Coturnix japonica: one gene and its partners. The protein of the gene in region 4 purifies or fractionates together with the protein of the main gene of each other region. This does not show direct contact. Links are inferred from orthologs where the notes say so. Each region holds a gene or a part of one and is shown on either strand. Other genes may lie near its edges.

What was found.
Region 1: the proteins of HDAC2 (region 4) and HMG20A purify together in Homo sapiens (affinity purification with mass spectrometry; 6 studies listed by BioGRID and IntAct, counting the BioPlex papers as one, with this or other methods). This does not show direct contact. The link is inferred for Coturnix japonica from reciprocal best matches to the Homo sapiens genes HDAC2 and HMG20A.
Region 2: the proteins of HDAC2 (region 4) and EZH2 purify together in Homo sapiens (affinity purification with western blotting; 5 studies listed by BioGRID, with this or other methods). This does not show direct contact. The link is inferred for Coturnix japonica from reciprocal best matches to the Homo sapiens genes HDAC2 and EZH2.
Region 3: the proteins of HDAC2 (region 4) and SMARCB1 purify together in Homo sapiens (affinity purification with mass spectrometry; 5 studies listed by BioGRID and IntAct, with this or other methods). This does not show direct contact. The link is inferred for Coturnix japonica from reciprocal best matches to the Homo sapiens genes HDAC2 and SMARCB1.
Region 5: the proteins of HDAC2 (region 4) and HELLS purify together in Homo sapiens (affinity purification with western blotting; 3 studies listed by BioGRID, with this or other methods). This does not show direct contact. The link is inferred for Coturnix japonica from reciprocal best matches to the Homo sapiens genes HDAC2 and HELLS.
Region 6: the proteins of HDAC2 (region 4) and EHMT1 purify together in Homo sapiens (affinity purification with mass spectrometry; 3 studies listed by BioGRID and IntAct, with this or other methods). This does not show direct contact. The link is inferred for Coturnix japonica from reciprocal best matches to the Homo sapiens genes HDAC2 and EHMT1.
Region 7: the proteins of HDAC2 (region 4) and GSE1 purify together in Homo sapiens (affinity purification with mass spectrometry; 5 studies listed by BioGRID and IntAct, with this or other methods). This does not show direct contact. The link is inferred for Coturnix japonica from reciprocal best matches to the Homo sapiens genes HDAC2 and GSE1.

The regions. Positions count from the first base shown.
Region 1 is NC_029525.1:2,279,076-2,283,637, forward strand, and holds the start of HMG20A (high mobility group protein 20A), read right to left. Parts: upstream 3,212-4,562; 5' UTR 3,085-3,211; intron 2,526-3,084; 5' UTR 2,416-2,525; intron 1-2,415. UniProt on the Homo sapiens protein: Plays a role in neuronal differentiation as chromatin-associated protein. Acts as inhibitor of HMG20B. Overcomes the repressive effects of the neuronal silencer REST and induces the activation of neuronal-specific genes.
Region 2 is NC_029517.1:75,450,380-75,455,218, forward strand, and holds the start of EZH2 (histone-lysine N-methyltransferase EZH2), read right to left. Parts: upstream 3,247-4,839; 5' UTR 3,197-3,246; coding exon 3,138-3,196; intron 2,662-3,137; exon of another isoform or gene 2,450-2,661; intron 1-2,449. UniProt on the Homo sapiens protein: Polycomb group (PcG) protein. Catalytic subunit of the PRC2/EED-EZH2 complex, which methylates 'Lys-9' (H3K9me) and 'Lys-27' (H3K27me) of histone H3, leading to transcriptional repression of the affected target gene.
Region 3 is NC_029530.1:7,053,063-7,057,143, forward strand, and holds part of SMARCB1 (SWI/SNF-related matrix-associated actin-dependent regulator of chromatin subfamily B member 1), read left to right. Parts: intron 1-390; coding exon 391-528; intron 529-763; coding exon 764-891; intron 892-1,183; coding exon 1,184-1,350; intron 1,351-1,566; coding exon 1,567-1,757; intron 1,758-4,081.
Region 4 is NC_029518.1:58,974,045-58,978,285, reverse strand, and holds the start of HDAC2 (histone deacetylase 2), read right to left. Parts: upstream 2,801-4,241; coding exon 2,770-2,800; intron 2,200-2,769; coding exon 2,087-2,199; intron 1,561-2,086; coding exon 1,443-1,560; intron 539-1,442; coding exon 464-538; intron 173-463; coding exon 34-172; intron 1-33. UniProt on the Homo sapiens protein: Histone deacetylase that catalyzes the deacetylation of lysine residues on the N-terminal part of the core histones (H2A, H2B, H3 and H4).
Region 5 is NC_029521.1:14,021,094-14,025,174, reverse strand, and holds part of HELLS (lymphoid-specific helicase), read left to right. Parts: intron 1-893; coding exon 894-953; intron 954-1,932; coding exon 1,933-1,969; intron 1,970-2,077; coding exon 2,078-2,142; intron 2,143-2,605; coding exon 2,606-2,647; intron 2,648-3,040; coding exon 3,041-3,265; intron 3,266-4,081. UniProt on the Homo sapiens protein: Plays an essential role in normal development and survival. Involved in regulation of the expansion or survival of lymphoid cells. Required for de novo or maintenance DNA methylation. May control silencing of the imprinted CDKN1C gene through DNA methylation.
Region 6 is NC_029532.1:1,222,318-1,226,398, forward strand, and holds part of EHMT1 (histone-lysine N-methyltransferase EHMT1), read left to right. Parts: intron 1-2,234; coding exon 2,235-2,378; intron 2,379-3,853; coding exon 3,854-4,080; intron 4,081-4,081. UniProt on the Homo sapiens protein: Histone methyltransferase that specifically mono- and dimethylates 'Lys-9' of histone H3 (H3K9me1 and H3K9me2, respectively) in euchromatin.
Region 7 is NC_029526.1:15,701,698-15,705,429, forward strand, and holds part of GSE1 (genetic suppressor element 1), read right to left. Parts: coding exon 3,490-3,732; intron 2,166-3,489; coding exon 1,585-2,165; intron 947-1,584; coding exon 834-946; intron 598-833; coding exon 327-597; intron 233-326; coding exon 110-232; intron 23-109; coding exon 1-22.

The DNA of each region.
Region 1 (4,562 bases), on a different chromosome or scaffold from region 4:
TGTGATTTGATAAACTTACAGTTTTTCTAACCCTGCAACTCTTTCCTTTGGGAGAGCAGGAAAGAACTGAAGCTGGGTATCTTCTACCATCTCAGCTACATAGCTGTAAAGACTCAGAGAGCTCAAACACCAGAGCCTATAAAAATAAGGAGTGCATATGAAACCTCCCATTTCTACCAATGGTAAACACTCGTATGAATTTACATGAGCCACCCCCAGACACCAACAGTTCTTGCTAGTTGGACTCTCCTTGTTAGCAGCCTGTTATTGAGTGCTTTGAGATCACCTGCCCAAGTGAAGAGAAACCAGGCCTAGAAGGACCAAACAGCAGTTTTCCACTGCCATAGGAGAGACTAGCCCAAACCTATTGAACTACCAGCTACTTCAACCACAGCATCTTCAGATGGGCAGAGCTCTGGTCATTAGACAATGTCTGTGTATCAGCATGCTAAAGAAACAATAGCTTTGTGTTGATGTTTTTAGTTGACACAAGGTGAAATGGTTCAGCAAAGCATGAAGTAAGCACAGCAGCTGGCAGGGAAGGAAGGATACAAGTAGCACTGCCAATACTGACCTACATTTCTAACTCCGTGGCCTGAGATTCAGCTTCTATCCCCCTACAACTCAAGCGATGTCAAAAATGAAGAACACTGGAAACGATTCCAGTAACTGAGGGCCCTAAAATAGCCATAAGTGGAAGGAAATCTGAATACCAGAAAAAGAATTAGGATTATCTCATAAGCTGACTTGACGTTTTCAGTTTTTTTTCTTTCTGATGTCAAGCTAAACATTTATTCTGCTAATGAAAGATGAGATTCTTTCCCACGAGTCTGGAAATAGAGAGCTCGAAATCCCCCGGATTCTGATTATTTTTCTAACAAGAGCTTGTTAGAAAACAATCTATGACATTGCTTCTTCATATCTCATATGAATTGCATAATACTTACTTTTCTACCTTAATTAAACTGAGCATAAGAATAGAGACAAATTCATTCCCATGTAGTGAAAGAGAGGATAAAGGCAAATACTGGTTGTCTCAGCTCTATTTCAGCCAGACAATACCCACCCTACAGAAGAACTTAAGAGCACTTAAAAATAGTCTCTAAACCTTGAGACTCCAAAACACTCATGCATCCAATGCAGTGGTAGCTTCACATGGAATATCTTCCTAGATTAATTCCTGAATTTCCACCCTTTTGGCAGCAGCAGATGTCCTTGCCAACACCCTGGATATGTGAAAACAAATACAAGGAGATGTGTGTTCTTAAAGAACAATAGGCTGTGGGGAAGTAGAAAAGAACCACTGCACCAAGGAAAAAGGTTTGTAGTAGTATTTAAAAGCACCACTAAAACATATTTAATACACAAACTTCCTCCTACCTTGGTGCACCGTTCACCCCATGCTGGGAACGCTTCCCCACCCACCTCCATAGCAGAAATGCAATGTTAGCAAACTCCAGAGTTAGAAGCGTGAAAGAAGATTCACAGTTTACTGTTTCCAATACTTGGCTTGATGCTGTTTTTCTGTTGTATATTCCCATGCTATTACCAGAACCTGTTGTGTCACAGCTCTTTCTCTCCTCTGCTCCCCCAGCTATGGAGACTGACACTTGACTTTCCCAATCGTGACGCCAGACACCACGTCTCCTGAGCACTACTGTGGGATGCTCTTCATTTCACACAATCAAATCCAGCTTTGGATCAACAAATAACAATGGCCCCCCATGGCTTTCAAACTGCAACCAAGTAAACTCCAAACTAAATAATCCACAAAAACACCAGCTAATTCCATGCGAGTTATCCATAGAGGAACCACAAAACAGAGCTAACTCTATTGACCACCATTCATTTAACACCGAGAACCCATCTCATTAAAGCAGCTAAGACTCATTGGCTCTGGCTCCTTCAGAACAATACAGAGCCCAAACCAGGCACATCAACACCCATAAGTCCTAACAAATACTGCAGATGACTTATTTTGAAAGGTGATTATTAATACATTATCACAAGTTTCTTTTGGCCACAAACAATCCCTTGGATACCACGGAATAACTAAAGATATGAACTTGAAGACACCAATGGAACGAGAGCAGGCTTCACCCATGACAGCACTGAACTGCCTACAATTCATCTGCATTCAACACCAGAGGAATAAAAACCAGAACGAGACAGAATTATCAGACAGCTTCAGCTGCTTTAAGAATTAAAGGAAGAAAAAGATATGCCTCGTATGCCTCAGTGCTACAAAAACCAGCACAGTTCCACACATGCTTCAGGTGGGAGGGAGTAAAGATCCTCCAGCCACAGCCTGGGGAGGGCAGGATGAGGAGCAACAGTGCAGCAACCTGTACCAGCTTACAGCGGGACGGGAGGAGTGACTCTGCCAGGTGAGTATAGAGCAGTAACTCAGCTCACCCTCACTGCTTCCACTCAGCAGACCGGGAGCTCTGGGCAGCTCAGCACACGTCAGCTCTCTGTGCAGCCCTCGCCATCAGACACAGCCGTGGCCACCGAGGGAACGTGTCCTGCAAGAACAGAAGATGGAAGGCGTTTAGAAACCCTGCAAAGCACAGGAGTTTGTGTAAGTCACAGTCTGACACATGTAGAGCTGAAGGCCGCACTGTAGCTACAGCATTCCTTTGGAAACGGGGCTCACCCTCACCCACAGAACAGGCACCTGTCAGCTACGGACCTCAACACATGCAGGTAGAATAGAAAGACTAGATTTATACTGGGAACAGTGGAGTTAAGTCACACACTGTAGTTTCTCTATTTTAACAGAACTGGAGGGCAGCAGGCCGAGCACCCCGCTCCATAAGGGACTACTGAGGGATGCAATAACGTAACGGGTAATGAGAACGATGGAGCCGCGGGGAACCGCCGTGTGATCACCAACAACAGACGCGATGAGCACGAAGACACGCGCCGAGCGCTCAGCCCCACGCGAGCCGCAGCCGTCGGCAGGCCCGAAGGCGCGTGCAGGCCGTGCCGGCCGGTCCCGTCACGCCGCCCCCGGCTCCACACAGCGCCCCGGGCCGCCCCGTGCGGTGAGCGGGCAGAGCGGGCCCGTCCCGCTGCACTGACCTGCGGGGCTCGGCCCGGCACTGAGCGTCCCCTCGGCCCCGCCGCCGCCGCGTCCCTCACAGAGCCGCATCACCGCGCCTCCACCGGCGCGGATCCCTCCGCCCCTCACCACAGCTCTACCCGGAGAGGCCCCAAAGGGAACCCGGGCTGGAAGCGCAACAGCCGACCCCAGCAGCGCTTCCTGCCCCGTCCCCTTCCCTTTCCACCGCCTCAGAGCAGGAGGCCAAACTACACCCCGGGACTACTTTTTCCGCGCGGGCGGAAGGACACCATTACCTTTGGCATTCTGCTTTAAAGCCGGGAGCCGCACCGCGCGGTGCACGCCGGGATGCGTAGTCTTCCCTCTCGACGATCCCGGCGCGCGCCCTCGGCCTGGCCCCGCCCCCTCTCCCCTCCCCAACCAATGGGCTGCCGGGGTGGGCGGGGTCGCCCCGCCCCTCAGCGCGCGCGGGGCGTGTCCGCGCGGCGCCCGGACTCGGTGCTTGTTGCGGGCGCGGCGCGCGCTGCCCGGAGCGGGACCCGGCGCGGCACCGCCCGCACGAACACGGAGCTGCGCGCGGCCGGGAGGCGCCGCGGGGACGGAGTCACCGTGAGGTGCGCGGGGCCGGGCCGCCCCTCGGCCGGGGGAAGCCAACGGGTCGGGTTTGCTCGGCGGGGCCCCGAGAGGGGGACGCGTGGGGGGGGGTGAGGAGGGAGGTGCGGGAGAGCGGCGCCGGCTGGGGCGGGGGGCGGCGGGGCGGGGTGGTGAGGTGAGGTGCGGGGCGCTCAGCTCAGCTCAGCTCAGCTCCGCTCCGCGATCGGGGCGAAGTTGTGTCCGGGCGGCGGCGGTCGGTGCCTTTTGTTCCGGGCTGCGCTGCCTCCATCCCGCCTCCATCCCTGGCTCCTCTGCCCCGCACCGGGACGCCCCGCCGGCTCGGCCCATGCGGCCCCGGTGTGAGATGTGCGGAACAACAGGTCGGATCGTGCCTCCCCTGCCTCGTTCCCGGGTTAGCGCTCCCGGCTCTCTCCTTTCCTTTTCCTTTTTCCTGTTGTGTCCCTTTATCCTGCGCTCAGAACAGAAGGGCAGTTTCCCCACTCGCTGCTTTCTTCCTCCTACTGACGTCTGGCACTAACCCGCTTTGGGGCTGGGTTCACCCCAGCGGCCGTTTCCCTTTTACATCGTGTTCCTGTCGGACCTGCCTCTCCCCAGGCCTGGGATCAGCTGCTGGGATCACAGTGTCCCCCCCTGCACTGCAGCCGGGGTCGTGGCCCAACGTGTGGTGTGGAGGTGTGAGCTGCCGTGCTGCCGTCATAAGCATGTGCGGTGTGGAAAGAGAATGCTTGGCCAGGGAAACAAGACTGTTCTCATGCTGCTATTGCTGAGATAGATCCAGGTGTTTGTAACCTGCTCGCGGTAGAACAGCGGCAATCAGTAAGTCACAGGCTGGTTTATTAGTTAAAGTGAAGTTCAAAGAGGTAATGTCAAGTTAACTACAAGC
Region 2 (4,839 bases), on a different chromosome or scaffold from region 4:
ATGCAGATTACAGCCATCACTAAAGTTTTCCACAATACTTTTGTTCAAGCACAACACAGGGCAAGCCTCTGTTAAATTTGCCTTCTGTCAGTATTACAGCCATTTTGAAAATCAACTTTCCCTGTTTCATCAAATGAAGATAACATCGTCTTTTAAAATTGTTCTTCAACTTTAACAATACAGCTGTGAAGTTAATAAAATGTATATATGATGTATATATCTAAAGAGGCAGAAAGTTCTTGTGAATGAATGGTGACAAGGAGAGGTTTTGTCTGTTTTTTAGACTAGTTTTCAGAGGATCTCTGAAACGCACCAGCTTCTGTGTACACTGTTGGCGTATGTGACATGCAGCTCATTCTGACGTATGTTGATTCACAGAAAGCAGCAGTTAGTTTGCACTCTCCATATATACAATTAGTACACTCACTAATGTACTACAAGAATTCCCTACTTGCTAAGCCAAAGTTTCCTTGTAGATAAGCTGAAGTACATTTACATCTCACCTACAAATGCCATATCATAGAACAAATATAAACCCATTAGAAGGCATATTTCCAACAAAGTCACCCACGATATTTCAACTCATTGAAAATTCTAGGTAGAAGAAAATACCATGTGGAAAGCAAAAAATTTTGAATTTCTAGTCTCCAGCCTAAGCTTATAGACTATTGCTTTATCTGATTTTAAACTGAGCAAAGACTTTTAATGTTCTTCTGCCAATAAGTATTTTCAGTGTATGTCACTTTCAGAGTAATATTTTAGAATGTCTAAAAAAGTATTTTATTGCATAAAACTTTTGAATAATACCTCCTAAAGTACTAGAACCGTGTTTTCTGAAAGACACTGTAAGCCTTATCTATATTATTATGATCTAATATAAAGCAAGGATAGCTACCATACACTGTGGACAAGTAATACTCACCCTTCTGAAGATGCGTTATTGTTATCACAATTAAACATTCCCTGAACTCTCAATTTGATACAGACACTGGGGACAAACAAAGAATGACCTTTTAATTTTTACAAGTCACAAAGAACCGGAATGTGCCAAGCCCTAAAAATAATAATAATAAATTAAAAAATAATGGAAAAAAAGGGGGGTGGGGTAGGGGGAAAGAGGAAAAAGAGAAAAAGAGAGAAAGGACTTGTATATGAGGAAATCTCCGTTTAGAAGTTTATCGTGTACTAAAAATACCAGTAAAGTCTCGCTGAAGTACTGAACGGTTGGATCTGCAATTGCTCGACTTGCACAAAGACAAACCTATCCTGCAACAAATAAACAGACCAAACAAAAACAAAACCAAAAAACCAAACAGAGAAAAAAACCAAGGCCCTAGTTCCAATGAAATATACTGTTTCATAACTTTGAAAAAGTATCTTGAGCCAGGTACAGGTTCATTATACCATTTTTGCTACATTATGCTGAGACTGCTTTTCTTTCTGCCCATTCCTAATAATTTTTGGATGTTCGTACTTAACACCAGATACACATGCGTTGCGCTACAATACATTGATTTCATCACCTTTGTCTGATCACACACACGCCTGTTGCTCCAGCACAACTCCGTCCCTTTCACACCTCCCCAAACATGCCGATTTCAGAGATCGCCCCACACACCCGCGCTTTGCGACATTAGGTCTCCAACTCAGCAGTTCCAGCTCCCTCCGAACTCTGGAGGGCCGGTTAGCCGAGCAGCGCCCTTCCCGACGAGGAAGTTGGCCGGACAGATTGACTCCCGCGCCGTCCCCGCTCTCCCGCACTCGGTGCCCGTGAAACTCGCCGGGGGCTGGAGAGCCCCGTCGCAGACTGGCCGGCGGGACGGCAACGTGCGAGGGCGAGAGTGGGAACGCTCCGCTTCCGGGACACCGCGGGCACATGGGGCTGCCGCGGACCTACTCGCACCCCAGGGCGGGGGCTACCGCCGCGTAACAACTTCTGCACCGTGCTTCTCTCTCGGAGGGGGCTGAGGCGGACAGAACGGACTTGTCTTCGCGTTTCGGACTCACCGAGACCTCACCTTGCGTACGTTTAACACACGGATCCCCCCGCCGACCCCTCAGCGAAACCGTGCCAGAGGCAGCCGCCACCACAGGAGGCCGGCAGGAACGGGGAGGAGAGGAAACAGCCGGCTCCTACCCGCTCTTTCTCCCGCACGGCGCCAGTCGCCCCCCCCGCCCAAGGCTCCGCTCCGCCGAGCGCGGCGCGGCCAGGATGGACAGAGCCAACTCAGACAAAAGGCACCGTCGGCTCCGCGCCGCTCCCTCCGCTGTCAACGGCTGCAGAGCGGGCGCGAATCTCGCTGCCGCCCCCCACCCCATCCCGTTCCTTCAAGCGCGACGCGGCGCGCTGCTCGGGACCGAGGCGGTCGCGCCCTCCCTGTCTGCCTCCCCACCCCCCATAACAAAGGGAGTCGGTTATAAATAACTGCTCCCGGCCCGCAGCCCGTACGGTGGTTGTGGTGCTGCTGCCGCTGCCGTCCAGCTCACCCGTCCCCTCGCTCCAATCTCGTGCCACCGCCACCACAGCCGCTTCGCTCCCCGACTCTTCTTCCCTCCTGCCTCCGGCTGCCGGATTCACCCTCCCGGACCGAGCGCCAAATACAGTGGCCCAATCGGTAACACGTTCATTGGCGAGAGCCGAGCGCCGCCCCGATTGGACGGACGCGGACGGAGCGCCCCGAGCCAATCAGGGGCGGAGAGGGGCGGGGAGAGGGGCGGGGTCCGTGCCCCACGTGCTGGCGGGAAGGAGGGGTGGGGGAGCTCTTTGTTCTCGCGCTGCCGCCCGGGCTGGCGGTTTTGTGCCCTCTTTGCCCGTCCGTGTAGCTGAGCGGGCAGCGGGTCTGGAGTTTGAGGTGCTCCGGCCGCCGCCTCACGGGGACTGGGGAGGGGAGGGAGGCGAGGGGTCCGACGGGAGCGGGGAGGGGCCTCGCGTCTCAGTGCTGCTGAGTTTGAATCAGTTCGAAAGTGGGAGCTGTAACGGTTTTAACAGTCGTGCTGCTGCTTCCGCGCGCTGCAGAGAGGGGAGGGGACGGGACGGGACGGGACGGGACAGGACGGAGAACTGGGAGAGGCGCGTCTGCGACCAGGCGGGAAGATCCAGGCGGGGACTGGGGGTGTTGTTGGCAGGAGCTGCTTACCTCAGCACGGCCCGCTCCCTGCCCGTCGCTTCCGCGGCGGGCTCTCTCCTTCCCGGCATTGCGCCGTGCCGAGCGTTGGCTGGCTGAGTCACTAACCAGAGTACGTGATGCATCCTCCTGCCGTGTCATCTGACCTTTGCGCACCCAAACCTAGCACGTATCTGTCCTTTTGTTTCACGCTGTTGCTCACGAATTTTGGTGCCTTGCTGTTCTGTAACCAGCATGGATTCTTAACTGTCAAAATCCCATTGTGTCCCATCTTGGCAGTGATGGTAAATCACAGCAACAGCAAGGTGTCCATTCTGCATAAGGCTGGGATCCTGTTGCTAGTGATACACTGTCTCTAGCCTAAGGTTGCTACCATTTTCCCTCGTTTTTATTCTACGACTCAGTCACGTTGACAAGGAGGTACTTTAAACCTCAAGGATTCATTCCCCCTTAGCCTTCTTTTGTCTCACTGTTTGGCCACTGCAGCCCTTCTTTGTTGACTGGAAAAACAAAATTGCCAAGATAAGATCATGGTGGGAAACTTCCATGTATGCTTGTCACCATCTCTCCTTCCTAAGCCTCCTGTGTTCAGCACTACTTCTGAGGTAGAATGGATTGTGAGCCTTGTACCCTTACTGTCTGTTACCAGTGTTTCTCACCTTCCCTTGCAAATCACTTCTGATACATTCAACTACCTTGTCTCATCTTTGTGTGAAGCCCAAAAATTAGCACTGTCCACCATAATGAGGTTCTGAATGATAAAAATCCTATGAGAGAAGATCATTGACACAGCTTCATGCCCAAATCTTTCAGCTGCATTATAGGCCAAACAAGGATCAGAGTTCTTTTAATGTGGAACAGAAATTATTTCCTCTTATGTTTGCATGTCACGAAACGATATATTGTCATACTCTTTCTTTGATTCTACTAGAGTAGATGACCTTTTCCAAGATTACGTTAAAACTATCAACTTTGCAAAATGTCAGTCATTTCTTGAAATTCAGCTATTTAAATCTATTCTGCTCCAAGATGGCTGGCACCACCAAAATGGCTACCCAGTCTCTTCACAGCTTGGAACTTGTAGTTTTTTTATTGTTAGAATTGCACTTCATGAGATCTTATCTTAGTCTATATATATATATATATATATATATACAACTCCTGTGCTAAATAAGCATAGCGTAACTTTAAGCAAGCACTATAGTCAGTCACAAGGTGAAAAAAAGATGTGTGGAGACAACACTGAACTCAATTGCAGTACACGCTTCAGTTTTTGTCTTGCACAGAAAGTTATTCACCTGCTGTACGTGAAGCTAATGCTTACTAGAAAATAAAACACATTTTGAATGGAACTACTCTTTCTGTTTTGCACTCTGTGAAAACAATCTTTCCATGCTGCATTTCAGTTCTAGAAGTGATGAATCCTCAGTGAGGATCTCCACGAAGTGTCAATTTTCTGATCATATGGGCTATTTAAAATAACCTGGAGAATTCTGGCAGCTTGTTTCTTTTTTTCTGCACGTGGATGCTTAATGTTGTAATGAGCTGCTTATAGACTTTCTGTTTTCATGGAGTAAACCACCCAAACATTTTTCTGTTCTGCTGCATTTTCATGATTAAAGAATGCCTGAACACCAATCTGCATTATGAAGAGGCATTTGGACCAGATCTGTGAGCAAAAAATATTACAAAGGTTTCTGGAATAATTATGAAA
Region 3 (4,081 bases), on a different chromosome or scaffold from region 4:
AAGGATTGGGTTGCTGCCCACATATTACAGGAAGAAAAACATTAGTGTTTGATGATACAGCTCATTTTGCAGTTACTTCATTCCAACTGTAGCAGATGTTCTGCAGAACACTCTCTGCGCATACTTTTTGCTGGAGATGTCGCATTTCTCAGCAGTTCCTCTGTAAACATAGACAGGAAATCCAAATATGAAGCATGTATTGGTGGTACACCTGGATTCGTATGCAGTGGATAGTTGTGGGCCGGAAAATGGAGTTTGAAGGCAATAATGTGGAATGAGTTCTCAGTCCAACTGTCATTAGGAAGGAACTCGTAATTTATGATACTAAGTTTAAAAATAGTGGCAGTGGTGTTCGGGGCCTGCAGGTTAACACAGAGTGTCATTCTGCAGAGAACAGAAGGCAAAGAGGAACAACCAATGGGTGCCGACACTGCCCAACAGCTCTCATCACCTGGATGCAGTACCATGCTCAACAACCATTAACAGAAATCGCATGGGCAGGGACAAGAAGAGGACTTTCCCTCTGTGGTAAGACAGCTTCCTTCTTCAGAAAAGTGGAAACAGTTACTAACATGACACACTGCAGGGGGCTGCTCTGATAGGCAGGTGGCTGCCAGAGCCCTGTAACTTTGTGTTGAGGATTATGTCTAATAATTGAAAAGTTGAAGTATAGGGATGGTAACAATAAAAAGCACCTTCCTTCTATGCATGCCAGATGTATCATTTTCTATTCCACATGCCCTATTGATGTTCTTTGTTCTAGCTTTGATGACCATGACCCAGCAGTCATCCATGAGAACGCATCCCAGCCGGAGGTTCTGGTTCCAATCAGGCTTGATATGGAAATTGATGGACAGAAACTCAGAGATGCATTTACATGGAACATGAATGGTATGTAGGAGGGAGAGTTTCCTGAGACTAGAAAAATACAGTTGCATTCATTACCAAATATGAAGAGAGAACAAGCAAGTCCTTGCCCCATATAGGAAAATCTTTTAAGCTCTTCTACAGTGATGTGTCCTATTCGGCTCTCATGGCTCTTAGCAGATCCCTAACACTTCCATGGATTGCAGTAATTCCTGAATACCTGTAATCTGAAAAGTTAGATGGGATCTTAATTTTGTGTATTCCGTAAGTGGCAGACATTGGTGGCTGAGAAAAATGTCTTCTTGTTCTGTATCAGAAAAGCTGATGACCCCAGAAATGTTCTCAGAGATTCTTTGTGATGACCTGGATTTGAATCCTCTGACCTTTGTCCCTGCTATTGCCTCTGCCATCCGACAACAGATTGAATCATACCCAACTGACAGCATCCTAGAGGATCAGTCAGACCAGCGTGTTATTATTAAGGTAAATTACAGGGAGGCAGTAGAATGAGAGCTGAACTATACTTGCATTTCTCTAGTTTTGTGTTCTTGGTTTTTTGGATTTTTTGTTTATTTATTTATGGGGGAGAGATAGCACAAAGACTTCCCTCAAAACCAAGGAGTTCCTAATTCCAATCCTTTATCCAGGTTAGATTTTGTCCTTGAGAAATGAATGACTCGTTTCTTCCCTTGTCTCCAGCTTAACATCCACGTAGGGAACATCTCCCTTGTAGACCAGTTTGAATGGGACATGTCAGAGAAGGAGAATTCACCAGAGAAGTTTGCCTTGAAGCTGTGCTCAGAGCTTGGCCTGGGTGGGGAGTTTGTCACTACTATTGCCTACAGCATCCGGGGACAGCTGAGCTGGCATCAGAAGACATACGCCTTCAGGTACAGAACTGCCATCTTTCTGGATGGGTGTAGATGTGTTTTCTTACTTCATGGCTGTTAACGTCAACGAATCTTGAACTGCTGACACAGTGTAGAAAGCTTAATTTGAAATTGGTTCTTATAGATTGTATACTATATAGTTCTTAAAAGACTGTTTTATTTCTTGGACATCCTTTTGTTTCATCAATTGGTGATCCCCTAAGCTGGTATTATCTAAGGACCACTGCTTGTGCAAGGTTAGCAGCTCACATGGTTTCATTTCTTCTCACTGTTCTGGACAGTTGTCTGTCTTGAAGTGGCAAGTGAGTCACACGTCATGGGACGGTGAGGTGTTACTGGTGAGCTGTAAGAGACACTGTGCTGCTTGTATGAAATGGATGGAGTCCTCTGGATAACAGAAATGTTAGTAGTGGATCTAACCATAGCACTCTAAATGTACGTGACACATTTGCAGTCATGTCTTCCTCAGGCACAGCCCCTTGTTGCTGGCTGCCTGACTGGTGAAGAAATGAAGAGTTTTGATCTGGAGCCTGGTGTGTTTTGTTCTGTAGATCCTGGTGCCTCTCAACCAGCTTGTGCTTTTGCTCAGAGATCTTTTTGTGGTGGGTGTAGTGCATCCCAGGGCCAAATATCAATGAAATCAGTTTTTGCCACAGAGTGAAAGGCTTTTCTAATTAACACTGTCAGAAAACCTTGTGCCTTCTTCTAATGTCTGCACATGATGAGCCTTGGATACGTTTCTGTCTCATCAGCTCTGTCTGACCTGGGCCAAGCTTTGGTCTTCTGAGCTAAGCCTGACTGACACTGTAGCTCTCTGCCCTGGATGAAGTTGAGGTTGGTTTGATCACAGGCAGTTCTCTTAGCTGGAACGCAACAGTGTCAGGTTTGATTAGTCAGCTTTGTAACTTGCCTCCTAATATTAATTATTTCCAGTTGTGCTGTGCAGAGTTCTGTGGCAATGTACTGCACAGATGTTATCCTCCATATGTTGCTTAGTCTGCAGTCTGTTAAGTATTCCTTAATGTGTGCTGGTGGGTTTTTTGACCTCAGGCCATGGTGACACTTGAGGAAGTTTGAGAGTTCAGCAAGTGATGTATTGCAGAGGTGGGAGAAAGGTGCTACTGGCGCTGGTTTTGTGGAGGTCAGCTCAAGGAAGCTTGCAGCTAATCCCTAGTGTGGTTCACATGGAAGTTAAACTCTTCTCTAGGAGCAGGGAGTTGACTTCTCCCTTGCTATCCATGACAGCAGATTGATATTTGCAGATCTGTGCTGTGGAACAGCTAGAGCAGTGGGTATGTGTTGCTGAGGATGGGTGGGAGCTTGGAGGGCAGTCAGTGGCAATATGATGCCTCTAGTACTGCTTCTTCTTCCCTGCTGCTTTACACATCTACTTTATATGTGTCCCTGGTTGCTGAAGAGTGCTTTGTTTTTGGGGTGGCTCAAATAGGTAGATTTCAGGCCTTCTTTAGGCTGTTGCCATTTTTTAAGGGGGTGATTTAAAAACGAGGAAGGAAAGCACAGAAATAAAGTACAATAGCTGTGAACCATTCAGAGGCAGAAAGCACCTAATTTAAGACTTGCTTTTTTTGTCACAGTACAAATATGCCCTCCTCTTCCCTCTCTTCTTTTTGCAAAGGAGTACTTTTGAAACCTTCCTGTGATTAATGATGTTTGGGTTTTGTGGTTGGGTAGTTCCTGAATTCCCAAACCACAGCAGTGATGGTTGCTCCAAAGTTATTCCGCCGATGTAAGGAAAGATTCTGCTGTAGATGTATCAAAAGAACCTTAAAATCTCCAGGAGTTGGAGATTTGGGAAGTCATGTGTCTCTTAGTCATCAGAGGGAGAGCTGAAACTGTCCTTCAGTTGATGAACTCCAGGGCAATTATTTCAGCTGGTTTCTCTCTGCAAAACAAGGGGAGCCTGAGAGCCCAATGGAAGGGACAGGATTGGAAGTGGCTGGTAGCTGATTCAGTTGTGATTTTCAGGGGATGGTGTACTAAACATTTCCTGCCTCAGTGCTGAGATGTTTCTAAGGGCAGCACGCAGTTTTATACCCAGACTTCTGCCTTCAAAACCAGAATGACGTTGTATTGAACATCAAACCTGCATGCCTATGGGGTTGTTCTTTTCAGAGGAACACCTCTCCCTCTTGGCTGCAGTGCTGTGCCCCAGTAGAGGCAGTGCAGTGCTCCACTGAATGCCACAGCTGACAGTGCCTTTCAGTCATTCTGCCAGCACCTCTTGTTTAACAGATAAAGGAGGGGGCATTGTCCTATGATGAAGTTTAGGAGATGAGGGAGGATTTTTCATTTTCTCTATTTCT
Region 4 (4,241 bases):
TTTTTTTTTGTCTTTTTCTACCATAAAACTTACTTCAGTAACTCAAGGATGGCAAGCACAATATCATTGACATAACAAAAACCAGATGCCTCTGACTTCTTGGCATGGTGAAGTCCTCCAGCCCAATTTACAGCCATGTCTGTCTGCTGTCTGTTCAATTTTACCGCCCCAGCTGTAGAAAGACACACACAAAATTGAAACAAAACAGTCAGAAACTTCTGAAGGTCTTTAAATTTGTTAAAGGAAACAGTATCTCATTTTTAAGTCATTAAATCTCACACTTAATCCTAGATCTCATGATATACAAATAATCAAATATGAGATAGATCAAATAACTGTTAATCTTTGTGTTGCTATGCAAAACAAACTTGTATTTGCTTCAGGATCTATATTACCGAAGGTTTACGTAGCTGACATAAACATAATAAAGCTACAAAATATCTGGCAAACAATCTGTACTTACCAACAGAGCCTCCAGTTGATAACTGACAGAACTCAAACAGGCCATCAAAAACAGGACAATCTTCTCCAACATTAACTGTGCAAGAAACACATTACTCTTCAAAAGCATAATCCTAATAGCATTGCTATAGGCAAGGGTAGCGCATAAAAATGCAGAATTCATTTAGCATTTCAACTACTTTTACCCCCCTCTCCCCTTTTCTGTCAAGCTAAGTTTTAAACACTGAAACAAATATAAAGTTTGCCCAAGCTCCTAGTAATCAAACAACTGTTGGCACAGTTTTTACCATTTAAGATGACTCCAAACTGGTTTTTTTGCTTGTTTTGTTTCTTTGTTTCCATAGAAAGCTGTCTCATTAATAAGTTAAATCATTTGTCTGCTTTAGAACAAGTGTTGATTAACATCATATTAATAAATGTGCAGCTTCTTGGAAAAATACATCGAGAATAAGGCACTGTAAAGAGTTACAAACACATATTATATATTGGTAGAGCTGTGTTAAACTGTATTTCTGACAGTAATTTGAACTTACTCCTAAAGTCTGAAAAACTACTTAACAGAAAACGTGAATAACGTGCTATTTTCACCACCTCACTCCAACCAGAGAGTCAACTCGATTTCTTGACTTCAACACATTTTAATATCTTACTACTATTCTTTAAGCCATTATTTTTTCCTTCAGAAAGAATTTGCATTAGAAGGTATTTCTAAGCCAGTTTTGCAAATGCTTAACAGCTGAAGTTTAACCCGGTGCATGAAGTCTATAGAAAGTATTATTTTGCACCCAGCAGACATTCTGCATGCAAGTCCTTTCGTAAACGTCAGGAATATTTATTTGAACATAGCTGCTTTTTATTAAAAGACACAAAATTAATGTAGCTACTATTTGTAACATCACACTGCTGAATATTTAAGTTTAAACACCACAACCAATGAAGCAGACGTACAAACTTAGAATTTACTTAATATTGACACTTACATCTTTGCATCTGCTTGCTGTACTCAGACATATTGTCAGGCCTTATTGATCTGAGGAATTTGATGTATTCATCACTATGGTATTTGGTCATTTCCTCAGCAGTAGCTTTGTGGGGTCGCTGATAAGAAGAATAAGTTATGGAAATAATTAGAGCACTGCTGCAAAACCAGTTAACAATTAACTAAAACAGACAGCTTGAAAGAAATCTAACCTGCTCTGAAGGGAGAACAGTGAAACTACTACTACTGGTATTTTGCACAAAGCAAGGATTACTCTGATAGCTTGAACCCACTAAATTCATTGTGCAGTTACCATAATCTCACCCCCACATAATCATAAAAATACCATTAAAGCCTCTACTGGCGCTGCTTTTCACTCCTTCCAGAAAGGGACAGCAGTGGTTATATATATATTTATAACATATATACACCCACACACATTTTATATACATATATAAAAAAACATTCCTTATTAAAAGGCACTTCAATCTGAAGTAAAAGTACACTGAATACACTAAGCATTTTCTATTTCTACTCCCACTTCTACCTGTTTATCTGTGTAAGAATACTTGAAGCCAACTTCCAATACATCAGTGGACAATCTATTGCTTATACTTCAGTAAACATTCCATTGCTTATACTCACGTAAATTTCCATTTTTCTGTACAAGCCATAATTTAGGAGCAAGTTGTGTGTCATTCGGATCCTATGAGGTTTCATTGGATGCCCTTGTCCATAGTAATAGTTTCCAATATCACCTGTCAATATACAGAAATGAACTGACATTACAAAACAAGTTTTTTGCTACTTAGAAGAATCACTCCCAAAAGACAAGTAAATATGATGATTCCAAAAAGAGATATGAACGAACTGCTCTTTCAAACACACCACAAGGAAAACAAACAGCCAAAAAAGCTGTAAGCAGATGGCAAAAAAGACCAAAACTAAGACCTTTACTACAAGCCAACAGTAGTGGGGGAGCAGAAGTGCCTAGAGTGGTTTCAAATCATGAATGAAGAAAACAATGGGATGGAACTGGAGAACAGAATAACAGGAAACAAAATAGGAATTATGAAGGGAGCAGAAACCACCACTGACAGTGACATTATACCACAACAGCAGCTGTAGCAAAACCTACCATTTTCTAAGAACTGATTTTAAGTAGATACTTCCTTACCCTGCTGCCCTTCCTAGCTAATCCTAACAGTTACATTCCAGAAGTTAGCTTCAAACCTGCTGCTGTAATCACATGCACAAACATTTCCAAGCCACCTGCTGCTAGAGATCCAGTCCACAGTAGATTGCCTTGCAACTCAGATGAACCCTACTCTCATCAAACTGAATAATGACTAGACACATGGTTACCGTAACATATTGATCACTTCTTTCCAGGAAGAAAGAATGGCTACTGTCACCAGACATTGTTTTCCTCCATCCTGGACAGCAGGAGAACACACCTGCCTCTGCTCCAAACACAGACTTTTCCAAGAAACAAACCATTCTGAATAAAACTTAAGTTCCATGTGTTTCAGGAGATGTGGACAAGCCTAGTAGGTATATTAAGTTCTCAAGAGCTATCACGTTGTCAATTATTCGCAATAGCTCTTCTTTCCTTCTGAGGAAATTCCTTGGTAGTATTACTGATTTTATCTTCCAAAACATTTTATTTTTCTTTCATAATTTTCAACATTTTTTTTCAACAAAATTTTCCAGCCTACTGGAAAAGAAAGAACATTGTTTTCAAAACGTAATTTTTCATGTTTTGGTAAGCAAGGGTAAGAAGTAGCACTGCTACAAAGCAGCTGTAGTTTCACTTCTTCAACGTGAGCTCCGGGCCACAAGGAAGGGAAAACACCAGCCTTCAATAGCATCACCAAGAAGAGCAAGCACTAAAGTAAGATTAGAAATATCGAAGGATTCTAAAAATCCAACTTTCTGTTTTTGAAGTAATAGGGCAAATAAGGACACTTCACAAAGCAGATATGGCCTAACATAATGTAATATGAAGGTATCTATGTAAGTTGCTCTTAAAGTAATGCCCCTATTTCCATGTAAAAAACAACAGATACAAAGAGCACAATAACAAAGGGCTGACTATAGCAGGACACAGGGAAATGGTTTTAAGTTGAAAGAGGGAAGATTTAGGTTGGATGTTAGGGGGAAGTTCTTCACTAGGAGAGTGGTTAGGCCCTGGAACAGGCTGCCCAGGGAGGTTGTGGATGCCCCGTCCTTGGAGGTGTTCAAGGCCAGGTTGGACGGGGCCCTGGGCAACCTGATCTAGTAAAGGTGTATGTTTGGTGGCCCTGCCAAGCAGGGGGGTTGGAACTACATGATCCTTGAGGTCCCTTCCAACCCGGGTCATTCTGTGATTCTTGTAATAACACAAATTCTCAGCTACGAAATACCATTTTTCAAACGCAGTTACGAGCATTAGCCAAATCATGTAGATGAGCTGATTCAGGCACTCTTCATTTCATGGTGTGACTGCTGCACGTGACTGTCTGGAATGTAGCTTGTCTTTCTTTCATGTCAATAGGATCACTGTTGAAACACATCACCTACCACCTCATGGTGCTCACAGCTACTGTTTGGTACCCAAAAACATTCAGCAAACAGCAATGAAAGTCAATGGGTGCCATTTTCTCTACATGGTGGAATTTAGTGTCACACCATACTACCATGTCAGACGCCATTCTATCGTACAGCCCCTCTGCTGCCATCTGTCACAGGGCAGCAACACATAAGAGAATATTACACAGAATCACAGAATTATCAAGGTTGGAAAAGACCTAGAAGATCA
Region 5 (4,081 bases), on a different chromosome or scaffold from region 4:
AATACAAATGTATAAATTACAGTGACCTGCTGAGGCCAAGCTGTCTCAAACTTCCATAAATCGATTTGATATTTTTGTTGTCTTAATCTATGGGCTAAGTTCACATCTGGCTTTGTCTGAGTTTTATTAACTGTCCCTGTATGTACAGACTTGTGAGAGTTTGAGCTTTAGAGGAAGGAGGAATCTCAGGAGAAGATGCAGGTTAATGACTTGCTCAGAAAAGTGGCACTGGCAAGTGCTTAAAGCTCCTTTCTAAAATAATCCTCTAGCTTCTCCTGTCAGCTTGAATTCATGGTTACTGCATTAATAGAGTGTCTTTTTAATATTAAGTCTTTCATTACTTCATCTTATAATTAGCAAGGTTCTATATATATCTTTTTCCCCCAGGGTTCTTTTGCTTTCAGCAAGTAAAAATAGTAGATAACATTTAAAAAAAAAATCTTAGATTCATCAAGATATGAAAATAATTCTTCCTTAAAGGCACTATAGGATACTTGCATTGCTTTCTGTTCTACAATGAACACAAGTGGTAACATGTGAAAGTTGAAGAGCTGTGTACATCAAATACTTAACATAGTAAATGTGATCTCTTGAAGGAGATTGCAATTGGGAACGTCTTTCTTTGGAGTCTGTCTAAATTACTGTATTTGAAAGTGTTTAGAGCAGTGACTGACACATAATTCAGAGCAGTTGCACTTTCTCACCTAAGTTTTATTTCATGATTATTTTTTTTTTAAACAATGTCACTGTCAGAATAGAAGCTTGCGTTGAGACTGCAAAAACAAGTTATAGAATACCCAGAAATCTGGATTACCAATGTAATTTGCATCTGTTATTTCTGTAATGGATAGTTCTTTGTAGGTGTTATTTAAGAATTATCTTTGTCTTTTTAGGAACAGAAAAGGAAAGAGAAGTTAGAAAAGAAGAGGGAGATGATGTTAAAATCTGCCAAGGTAAGATCAGCCAGCTGTTTTATGTAACTTTTCTCTAATTAAAGTCTGTTAAACTGCCATATCAATTTGGATCTTTTAGTCAAGGTAAAGAAGTTAGACTTGCCCAGTATTTAATTTGAAGATACATCTATTTATAAAAACTTCTAAAGATATAAGATTTAGTCAATGATTTTGCTGGGGCCTGTCCTGTTCAGTATCTTTATTGATGATCTAGATGAGGGCATTCTCAATAAGTTTGCAGATGACACCAAAATGACAGAAATAGTCCATCTGCTTGGTAGAAAGAAGGCCCTACAGAGGGACCTGGACAGGCTGGATTGCTGGGCTGAGGTCCATGGATCATCCTCTTCTCCTGCATTACTAGTGATAGGATCAGAGGGAATGGGCCTAAAGTTGTATCAGGGGAGATTCAGGTTGGACACTGGGAAATTATAATTCTCTGAGAGGGTGGTCAGGCACTGGAATGGGCTGCCCACAGACAGAATCACTATCTCTGGAGTTGTTAAAGAAACATTTTGATGTTGTACTGAGGGACATGGTTTAGTGGAAAGTTTTGATGACAAGTGGACAGTTGGACTGCATGATCTTAAAGATTTTACCAACCTTTGTGATTCCATGATTCTAATATAGCGTGGTATTTAGCTGTGATAAAACTGTTTAAACTGCACTTAAAAAAAATCACATAGTATAGACTGTCTTACTAAGGAGACTTTGACTAATTTTTATTAAAGGGAGTGGAATAGATTTGTCTTGAATTCTGGTATTTTGTTAAAGAGTGATTACTTAACTTGGTCAACCGAGAGCCTAAGTGCTGGCATATGAAAGCAAAGATGAAAAAGTCTGGTGCTTACCTGCTTTTGCTGTTTCTTAAAATAGTAATCGTGTTTCAAAAAGCTTTCAAAAATAACGGCTTGAGTCTGATGCCATATTCTTTTGTGTTGAGATAGATTATGAAACTCTTCCTGTGTTTATTTTCTAGGGTCAAAATCCAGCTGATGGGAAAGAAGATAAATCAGGTAACTGGTAAAAGTTTAAAAAAAAAAAGTCTTTGTTTTGTCAGTACCAGTGTTTTTTAGTTCCTTCAAAATTTACTGTGTTGTATAAACTCAAATCTTATGTTACAGCTACAAAGAAGAAGAGAGGGAGAGATGACGGAACATACAACATTTCAGAAATTATGTCCAAAGAGGTAGGCCGTATCTGTCAATGGATTTGTTTGAACTCCTGTAGCATAATTTTAAGTGATGTGATGATCACTGACATCTGTGTTTTGTAGCAATGCATCCTTATTCATTGCCATCAGAGGCTGACTAACAGCCAACAGTAGTCTGTAAGATATTTATTCTAGCAAATACCTTCTTAACAAGCAGACCTATAGAATCAAAATACTTATCTTAAAGTCTTTGGAGAGGTAGATGAGAAGAGAATACATCTTCCAGTTGAATTTCCAGTCCTCTTGTAATTGAAATTTGCTGACGGGTGGCCTTGTTTAGAGTCAATGATGGATTAATTATTATGTATGGAAATTTATTTAAAGTATGTCCAGATTCTTGAATTAAAAGATCTTTTGGAATACAAATTGTTGTAGCCTTTCAGATTTAGAAGTACTTAAGTATAAGGTTTAAGTATAAGGTTTTTTGTTTTTTTCCCAGGAAATCTTATCTGTGGCTAAAAAAAGTAAAGTGGAAAATCAGGTAAGTTGGCAAACATTACTACAATTTAAACATTTAGAGCCTGAAAGGAGGGAGGGCGGGCTTTTAAAACTTTTCCTGTAGGTAAATCTTTGCTCGCTGTTTAAGTCCTGTGCTGTCTCTTCTCCAAAGTAGTAAAGAGTACTGCCTATAAGGTATTGAGATTTTGCATGGATACATCTGCTTTTATGGTGACATCAACCCTTAAAATAGATTCTACAGTTCAGTTGACAGTTACTAAAAACAAACCTTTGTGTCAGGGGCTGTTTTGCTTCAGTACACTGTAACAGACTAGCACAGACTTACCACAGTTGTAGCATCTGGTAGAAATACATCTTAGCTGGGCTTTATTAATGCATTCTACTTGTCACTTATTCCTTGAACATTCTTCTATAGGATGAAAGCTCTGCTGACAACCTGTGTCCAGAAGACCTGCAGAAAAATGGGGACTCAAATAGTGTCATTAAGGATAGATTGTGTCAAGCTGTACGACACAGTGCCAAGCAATTCCTTGATCCAGTGCGGAAATTTAACGGACAACCAGTGCCTTTTCAGCAGCCAAAGATTTTTACTGGAGGTGTCATGAGGTGGTACCAAGTGGAAGGCATGGAGTGGCTAAGGGTATGGAGCAGCCGTTTACAAAAATGCGTTTGTTGCCAACTGGGAACTGAAACAGAGAAAGAGAAATGAAAAATCTGAGTATAGTTGATACAGGAAAGATGAGGAAGGAAAGTTCCTTGTTGTTTCTTTTTGTTTGTTTGTTTTTAATTATATGGGAATCTGATGTTATTAACAGTTGTTAATTCTGTAGATATGAATTTAAAGTCTGGGGAGGATATTTGGGTTTGTAAAGATTTCACGAGGCTTTAATTTTTCTTCTCCATCTATTTTCTTTTTCAACTCAACTGTTTTTTCAGCCTCTCCTTTGAAGTGCTTTATGAAAGTCTATTCATACTTAACTTGAGGGGAGACCTTGCTGGTTTTCCTCTGTCAAGGACATGAGTAGCCCGTAGGTCTTTAGACTCAACCACCTCGCAGGCCTGACACAAGTGACAGTTTTCAATTCTCTCTGCAATTTGAACACTTAACTAGCAGTATTAACATGATGGTTTAAAAATGTTTTGTCTTCAATATTTGAAATCAAATGCAGGAGAAACATGCAATAATAATAATAAAAAAAAAGCCCATGCATTTATTTTTTTTCCTCCCAGTTTTTCCTTGGAAGCCAAATGAGGACAACTTTGCTTTTTTATTATCAGATCAAATTAGAACTAACTTTCTGCTTCTGATTTAATATTTCTCCTGGGTTTTCTTTAATTCTTCCAACAAGCACATGTATCCTGTTCTAATAGGCTTTGACTCATCTCACGCATGATTACCACTAGACTATCTTGTCTGGAGGAATAAACAGCTCCCATTTTGTTCAATTCCCTCACT
Region 6 (4,081 bases), on a different chromosome or scaffold from region 4:
AGCTCTTGAGTTTCTGGAACTTGGCATGCCTTCTGCCAGCTCAGTCTCCTTTGGCCCTCCACTTTCCTCCTCCCCCCCAAGAGACTTGTGTTACTAAGCTTCCTATGTCCTGGCAGTCCTGCGCAGCCTCTGTGGCTGGCTGGAAACGTTGCACTTGATGCCTCTAAATTGATCACAGCTGGGCTAGTTGGGCTCTGCTGGTTCTGAGAAGGTGGAATTAAGAGGCAAAAGTGACTCCCTCTCAGAGTTTGGAAAGGAAGATGGCGTGACAGAAGCAAACTCGGGAGATGCTCCTTACTCTGGAAGAAACTGGCGTTTCTTTGATGCATCAGCTGAGCTGCAGCCATGCTGCAGTGCTCTGATATTTACTGATAGAAGGACAAGGAGTCAGAGCACTCCTGGTTCTTCTGGAGTATCACAGTAGAAGGGTGGATGGAGGGAGGAAGGGGTAATCACATTGACAGCCCTGCTCTGCTTCTGTTAGTACATGCTGGTACCTATAGAGAAAGGAATTTCACTATCGTGACAGAGTTGGTAGGTGAAGGAGGGGATGCCCTGGAGACTCGCAGGAGAGAGGGTTCTCCAGGGTTTCTAAATAAACAGAAAGAATACAGAGGAGTTCCTGTGGTTATCTGGCAGTTCTTCCCCCAGATAAATCAGATAAAGGAATAGTGAAGGCCGTGCATTCTGTTAGATTCTTTTTGGTAATGGGATAAGTGACTCATAGATGTGGTAAGGATATTACATGTATGAATAGTGGGTTCAGTAGACAGTCATGTCCTTGGATAATGTTATAAATAGTCAGGAGCACCACTACACTCTCTAATGGCTGGAAAATAGCAATTGATCATTTTGTACTATTTTAGACTTTTCTAACAAATAATATGTTGTGACAGGATGATGCAGGGACTTCCTTATGCAGACAGTGCAGCTTCTCCTGCTTTAATCAGATTTCCTCCACTCATAAATAAAAATCAATGGACTGGTCCTCTCCTGCAGCCCCTGGGGTCTGTGTGTGAGCAGTGATCACTTCAGGTAAGGTGTCACAACCGCAGGTAGGCTTTGCAGCTGGAGTTTGGGTAAGCTGGGTCAGAGATGCTAAGGGAGAAGAGCTCAGGTTAAAAACAGTTCTTTGTTGTTTGTTTTTTTTTCCCTGTAGGTGTGTTGATTGTAGGAGAAATGGAGTTTAAAATAAATCAGGGAGTTTAGTTTTACTGAGAAAAAGCAGTGAATCAGACCTCAGCTACAGAGCAGGAGGGGCAGCCTGCTAGTGAGGAGCAGACACTGTGTTCCTTACGGACTGCTGTGGTGATGGAGGCAGAGTGCAGTACACCACGCTCAGATTCTGGTAGGGGTGTTTCCTCCTATGAACTTTTCATGTTTATGTTTCTGTGCTGGAATTGTCCTTTGCCAAGCACTGGGAGAAAGCAAGGTTTTCATCTGAAGGGATTTAGAGAACTCAAACAATGTTGTACCACGCTGACAGGTGGCAAACAGGATGTGGAAGGTTTATAGGTGTACACAGGGGTGGCAGGAGGAAGCCCCAGTCCTTGAGGCACAGCAGAGTGAGTGACACTGCTGGGAAAAGCCCTGCTGATGGAGCCTGCTGTCACTGGCAGAGCAAGGTGCCAGAAGACAGCTCTTAGGCCCGAAATGATACACTGGTGAAATGTTGCAGAAAGCATGCTCAAAATCTGACTGGAGCTGAGCTCTCATGAACGACTGGCTCTTCGTCCCTGTGGTCTGGGCAGGGGCCAGTGCTGGAACCAGTACAGACGATAACATAGCTGGCAATGAAGAGCAATTATTTTTCCCTTTATCTTCCTGTGACTTGTACTTTTGAACAGTAACAAGATTTAGCGCGTATGTTCTTGTTCTCTTGGTCACTGACACCCGCTCTTCCTGGCAAAAGCAGAGAGTGTATTGTGAGTCAGGCCCCTGGGACTGCCCCCTCTGTGGCTGCTTGGCTGTTGCGTATTTCCAGTTATGATTTTTCTTGCAAGGAACAAATGAGTCCGGTCCACATGCATGTTAGTTAGTAAATGATGCATTTCTTCCTGTGAGAGCAGCTTTCACAGCTTCCTGCTGCCCTGCTAATGCTATCTGGCACACATCTGAATTACTGTGAAAAAGCCAGGGCTCATCAAAGCAGTGTGCAAAATCTTCCTCCGCACAAGCACAGAGAGTGTTTTGGTCTCCAGTAATTTCATTTCCTTTAATTTCTCCTGTTCCAGCTGGGCCGATGCACAAACAGTGTGGTTAAGTATGAACTGATGCGCCCGTCTAACAAAGTCCAGCTTTTGGTGCTGTGTGAGGACCATAGAGGGAGGATGGTGAAACACCAGTGTTGCCCTGGCTGTGGATACTTTTGCACTGCAGTAAGTCCGTGCTCTCAATCTAGGGAAGGGGGTACTTGTTGCAGTAGCTGGAAGAGGTGAAGGTGGAGATTTACCCAAAGGGGTTTACTGACTTCCTGGCATAAGCTCCACCTCATTCCACAGCACATCAGATGGCATTTTCAACAGTAATGTGTTTGAAAGTAGCTACAATGCTCACCTGTAACTTCCTGGAGACCCCGAGGGGTGTCACCGAAGGGGTGGAATTCATACCTTTGGAATTTTTTTGGAACATTGTTTGTTTTTTTTTTTTCTTCCTCTGTGCAGTCAATCACATCACAAATGGTGTTAGCCTTAGTCTGCATACAGGACAGGGGTTCTGTCCCCCGTGCCGCACAGTGAGGTGGGGGAACCAGAGTGATGGCACTGGAACAAGGCAATGTTTGAGATCTCCTCCTCCTTCTCTACCACTGAGGTTTTAATAGCATTGGCCCAGTGCTTTGAGCCATCGTTGTCCTTGTTTCCTTGCTGGTGAAACACTCATTGAGAGCCTCCCGGGGTGATAGGGTGGGTTAATTGTCTGATGTTAGCGTTCTTAAAGATGACTCGATGAAAGGTATTAGAGTAGTCTCAACATTATTATAACTGTAATAAATGGTACCATCCCGAGTTTTCATGCTGAGTCAAAGATCATTTGAAAGATATAATCCTCAGAACGCTTGAAGACATTTTGCAATGCTGAAATAGTTAATAAGATGTCTTGGGAGGACTGTGAATCCAGGAGAAGAGTGGGTTTAAACTAACTTTTCCTTAATGCTGTTACATCTCTGAGTGACCTCATAGTTCATAAAGGTGAATCTGGCAGTGTTTGTGTTATCAGTCACTAGTAACACAGAGCACCGTAGGGCTTTAGGTAGCACTGATATCACAGAACAGTGAGTTCTGGGGTGCAGTTCAACTTGGAGGACTTTGCTGGAAAGAGAAGATAATTTGTAGAAAGGTGGCTCACATCTGTCAGCAGATGGGGTTAAAGAGCATACAGGGCTGGTCCAAACAGAGGAGTTGCATGCTTTGGGTAACACTGGGGTTGACAGCTGATGTAATTGTATCATTGTTGTTCCTTGAATGGTTTGTGTGCAGATGTGTTTGGTAGTTTTAGTGCTGACTGGTTTGAAGTTTTCTTTTCCAGTATTGGGAGCGTCCTTACAGTACACTGGCACTTCTAGGAACGTAAGCAAGAACCTCAAGTGTTAGAGCTGGAAAATGGGACTCTGTGGTTCTGTTTCCCACGTGCAATTAAAAAACTTGCTTTGCAGTTCCTAACCAAGTGAGTTTTTTCCCATTACCTTGGTTTTGTTCTCTTCTAAAGAAGTGGCAGTGCTTGCTTACTGTACTGGAAGCGCGAGGGACAAGAGAGGTCGTGAATGATGTGTTTAAGAGCTCTGCGGATGAAGCATGTGGAAGGGGTAAGGCTCGTAGTGACCAAGGTGTGAATATCTTCTCTGTAATTTTTTTAGGGCACTTTCATGGAGTGTCAGCCTGAGAGCAGCATCTCCCACCGTTTCCACAAGAACTGTGCCTCCCAGGTCAACGACACGAGCTACTGCCCACACTGCGGGGAAGACGCCTCCAAGGCAAAGGAGGTGACAATAGCAAAAGCAGACACGACTTCCACGGTGTCACTGGCCTATGAGCAGCAGAAACCAGCAGCAGTGGAGGGAAGGGCTGACACCACGACAGGGAGG
Region 7 (3,732 bases), on a different chromosome or scaffold from region 4:
GGGTCCAGCAGCAGCGGTGGCTCTTGGGGTAGATAAGGAGAAGTGTTGGCACAGTGGTGCCCAATTGGGCACAGGAGGTGAATAGGGAAAGTGGAATGGAGGAGCTTACCAGCATTGGGGCCAATGGGGCTGTCCTGCGGAGAGCTCTTCACCACCACAGCAGCCGGCGTGGGCTTCTGCTTCATGGCCTGCAGCATCTCCACCAGCTTCTCCTTGTCTGCCGCATGGGAAGCTGAGGTTTAGTGTAGCCTCTGCTCAGCCGGGCACCAGGCAGCCCCGCGGCACGGGGACGGGGACCCCCACCCCAGCACGGGGCATGGCGTTACCTTTCCTCTTTTCGGCGCTGATGTGCGTGAGGTTGAAGATGGTGAGGAAGCGTTTCTTCTCCTCGAAGTTGGGGCTGTTGTTCATCTCGTCGGGGCTGTAGCGGGTGGAGAGGGGGAGGCGTGGGGATGGCGTGCGGCGCTTGTTCTGCACCGTGGGTGGAGAGGGGCTGCGCTCCCGCAGCATCCGCCGGCGTTTGCGCCGCTTCTGGCTCAGTAATTCCTCCTTCTGCTGCTGCGTGGTGAGGCCGAAGAGCTGCAGGAACTCCAGCTTCTGGGGCGTGAGGGGAGAGCAGAGCTGGGTCAGCCCCACAGCAGCACAGCACCTGTTCCCATCCCTGTTCCCATCCCCATCCCATGTCCATTTCCATTCCTATCTCCATCCCCATCTCCACCTTCAACCTCAGCTCTATCTCCATCCCGTCACCATCCTCAACCCCATTGCCATTGCCATTTCCATCCCCAGTCCCACTTCAGCCCCACATCCAGCCGAGTGCTGTGCCCATTTACCTCAGAGGATGTGTCCAGCTTCAGCGGGGGCTGCTCGGCCACACAGCGGAGATGTGCCCGCACCTCCTCCTCGTCGCTGTCATCACAGGAGTCATCCAGGTCGTAGTAATAACCTGGGGATGGGGAGAAGCTGATATCAGCCAAGGGGGGCCATGCTGGGACCCCCCCATATATACTGCTGGGACCCTGGGAAGCTGCTGGGACCCCAGGAATGGTTGGGATTCTGCTGGGTGGGGATGCTCACCACAGCATCCCAGCTCAGCTCTGTTTTGGGATGGCTTTGCAGGGGGACTGGAAGAATTATGGCTCTGTGGGCTGCTTGTAGTGGGAGGGCTGACTCTTCCCTTTGCTGCTGGGGCACCAGGGAGGGACACAGCCCAGGAGCACCTTGTGCCAAGGACACTGGGGACACCACTGCCTGCCTTGATGGGGAGCACCGGGCTCAGCAGGTTAATGGGGCACAAGGGGGGATGGCAGTGCTGCCCCCACACCTCGCTCCATCTCCTCCTCGCTGCTGTTCACATCCCCGCTCGCACGGCCCTATTAATATTTAAAGCCAGCTTATTAGCCTCAGTTCATCATTTATTAATTGGGCATGTCTAGAGCGGAGGATTTACCAAGCCGCTCTGATTTGGCTTTCGGGAGCACTTGCATCGAATGCCTGCGGGTTGAGCTGATGGCATCACTGGGGAGCCCCCTCCTGGCCTCCCCCATTGGGGTCCTGGTGGGGGGTCCCAAACCCCCTCCTCACCTTTCTCCCGGGCCTCCCGTCGTCGTCGCTCCTCCAGGTCCAGTTTGCTGACCAGCCTGCGGTGCTGCTGCACAAACTCGTCGTAGATGTACATGGGGTCCTGCGTGCGGGGCTGGGGGGGTCTGTAGGGCGAGCTGGGCTTGGTCACCTCCCCAAAAGGGGTGGCTGGGGGTCTCTGCTGGCTCAGGATGCTTTGCGTGGATTTCTCCAGCTCGGCCAGGAATGGTGTGTGGGTGAAGCCTGTGTGCTCTGCAGTGCTGGGTTCCCGTGGCACGGGGTATTTGTCCAGCGCATCCCTTTTCCTTGAGCTGTCTTCCAGCTTCTCGGGGCAGAAGACTCTCTCCACCTTCACCAGCGGGATGCCCTGCCGGCTGGGCTCGAAGGGGGCCGGGTGGCCGTGGAGGATGTGAGGCTCAGGGAGGCGCCGGGGGGGCTCCGAGGGGCTGTCCATCAGGGAGACGGGGTTCCAGAGGGATGTGGCAATGGGGTGGTGCTGGGGTTTGGGGGAGATGAGTGGTGGTGGACCACCAAAGTGCTGCCCCGGCTCGCGGATGCTCGGCTCGTGGCGGCTTGGTCCCGACCTGCAGGAAGGAGAGGAGAGGAGAGGGATGGAGAGGAGAAGCAAATCCTCTCTGCAAGCTGGATCTATGGAGAAATGATCTGTTGGATGCACGTGGTGGAGGGGGGAGGGTTGGGAACGGGATACAGGGCAGGGGACCCCTCTGTGGGACCGGGATGGCACAGGCTCTCACTGCACACAGAGTGACACTACAGTGAAACCTTCCCTAAACACCCAGGGAAGGAGCAAACCTGTTAGCAGGATAAATATTTCATGCTCCGGAGAGGAGCGTTTAACGCTTTTCCACTCGAGCGCTCCAGACCTCTGTGCAGCAGAGCAGGGAGGGCTCAGTGCTGCCAGTCGGGTCACAGCTGCCATCGCTCTATGGAGAGCTCCTGCAGGCACCAGCACTGCGGGCTGAGGGCATCACCTGCCCCAGTGGAGAGCAGGGTCCCTGTCCCCATCCCTCCCCACCATCTGGGGGTCTCTGGCAGCACTTACAAGGGGCTGGGCAGGATGCTGAGTAAGGGACTGGGATAGGAGTAGGAATGAGATGAGGATGGGATGAAGATGGAGATGGGATAGGAGGGAGATGAGGCTGTAAGAACACCCCCCCACACACTCACTGCTGTGCTCAGGGTGACCTTGATGTCTCCTCCCTGCTTTGGGGAGGGATGTGTGGATGGGGGCGGGCGGCTGCAGCAGGCACTTGCCATTGTGCCGCCCCGCAATCCGCTCCTTGTTATACTCGATTAGCCGCGCTAATCCCCTTGATATCCAAAAATAACAATGGGAGCCGGCAGCAGAGCCGACTGGATAAGCCCACACCACCAGAGCGCTCAGCAACAGAGCGAGAAAACCCGCGTCAATGCAGAGCTGTGGGCACGGGCTGCCCCCCTCGCCTCATCCTACTGCGCATCCCCTCTATCAGAGAAGCAGCTTTCAGGCTGCACAGGGGAAGCTGCAATTAGCGATGTCGCTGCCTCGGCAGCACCTGGCTGCTCGCCGTTGGCCCCCAGCCACCTCCCGGGCTCACCGCCTGCTGCCGCGCAGATGTCAGGCAGTGGCACCGCACGGCGCTGCCAGCACAGCCGGCCCGGCTGGCACAGCACGGCGGGGACCTGCTGGCACCGGACACACAGCTCGCCTGGTGCAGGGGGGGAAAGCATGAAGGCTGAGCTTGGGGGGAGCTCGTCCTGCTCAGAGCCAGCTCGCAGGGTGGCGAAAATGGCAGCGAGATGGGAAAATCCTATGAAACCAGCAGGAAAATGGGCAGAGGGAGCATGGAAAGGGGCATCCTGCATCCTGGCAGAGAGGATAAACCCACTTGGGGTGTGCAGCCCTACCTGGGGTTGTCAGGTCGGTGCTCGGGCTCAGGCTGGCTCGGGGTGCGCCCCATGTCGAGGTGCTGCTCCAGCACCTGCTGGCGGAACTCCGACACCTGGGACTGGCGGTCCTCCTTCTCCTGGCGCAGGCGGCGCTGCCGGGCCAACCATTTCTCCTCCTCGTTGGTGCGGTGGATGAGCAGCGCCGTGGCCGCGCTGCTGCCAGGCAGAGGGAAGACGTTGTGGTTGGGGATGAGGCTGGGC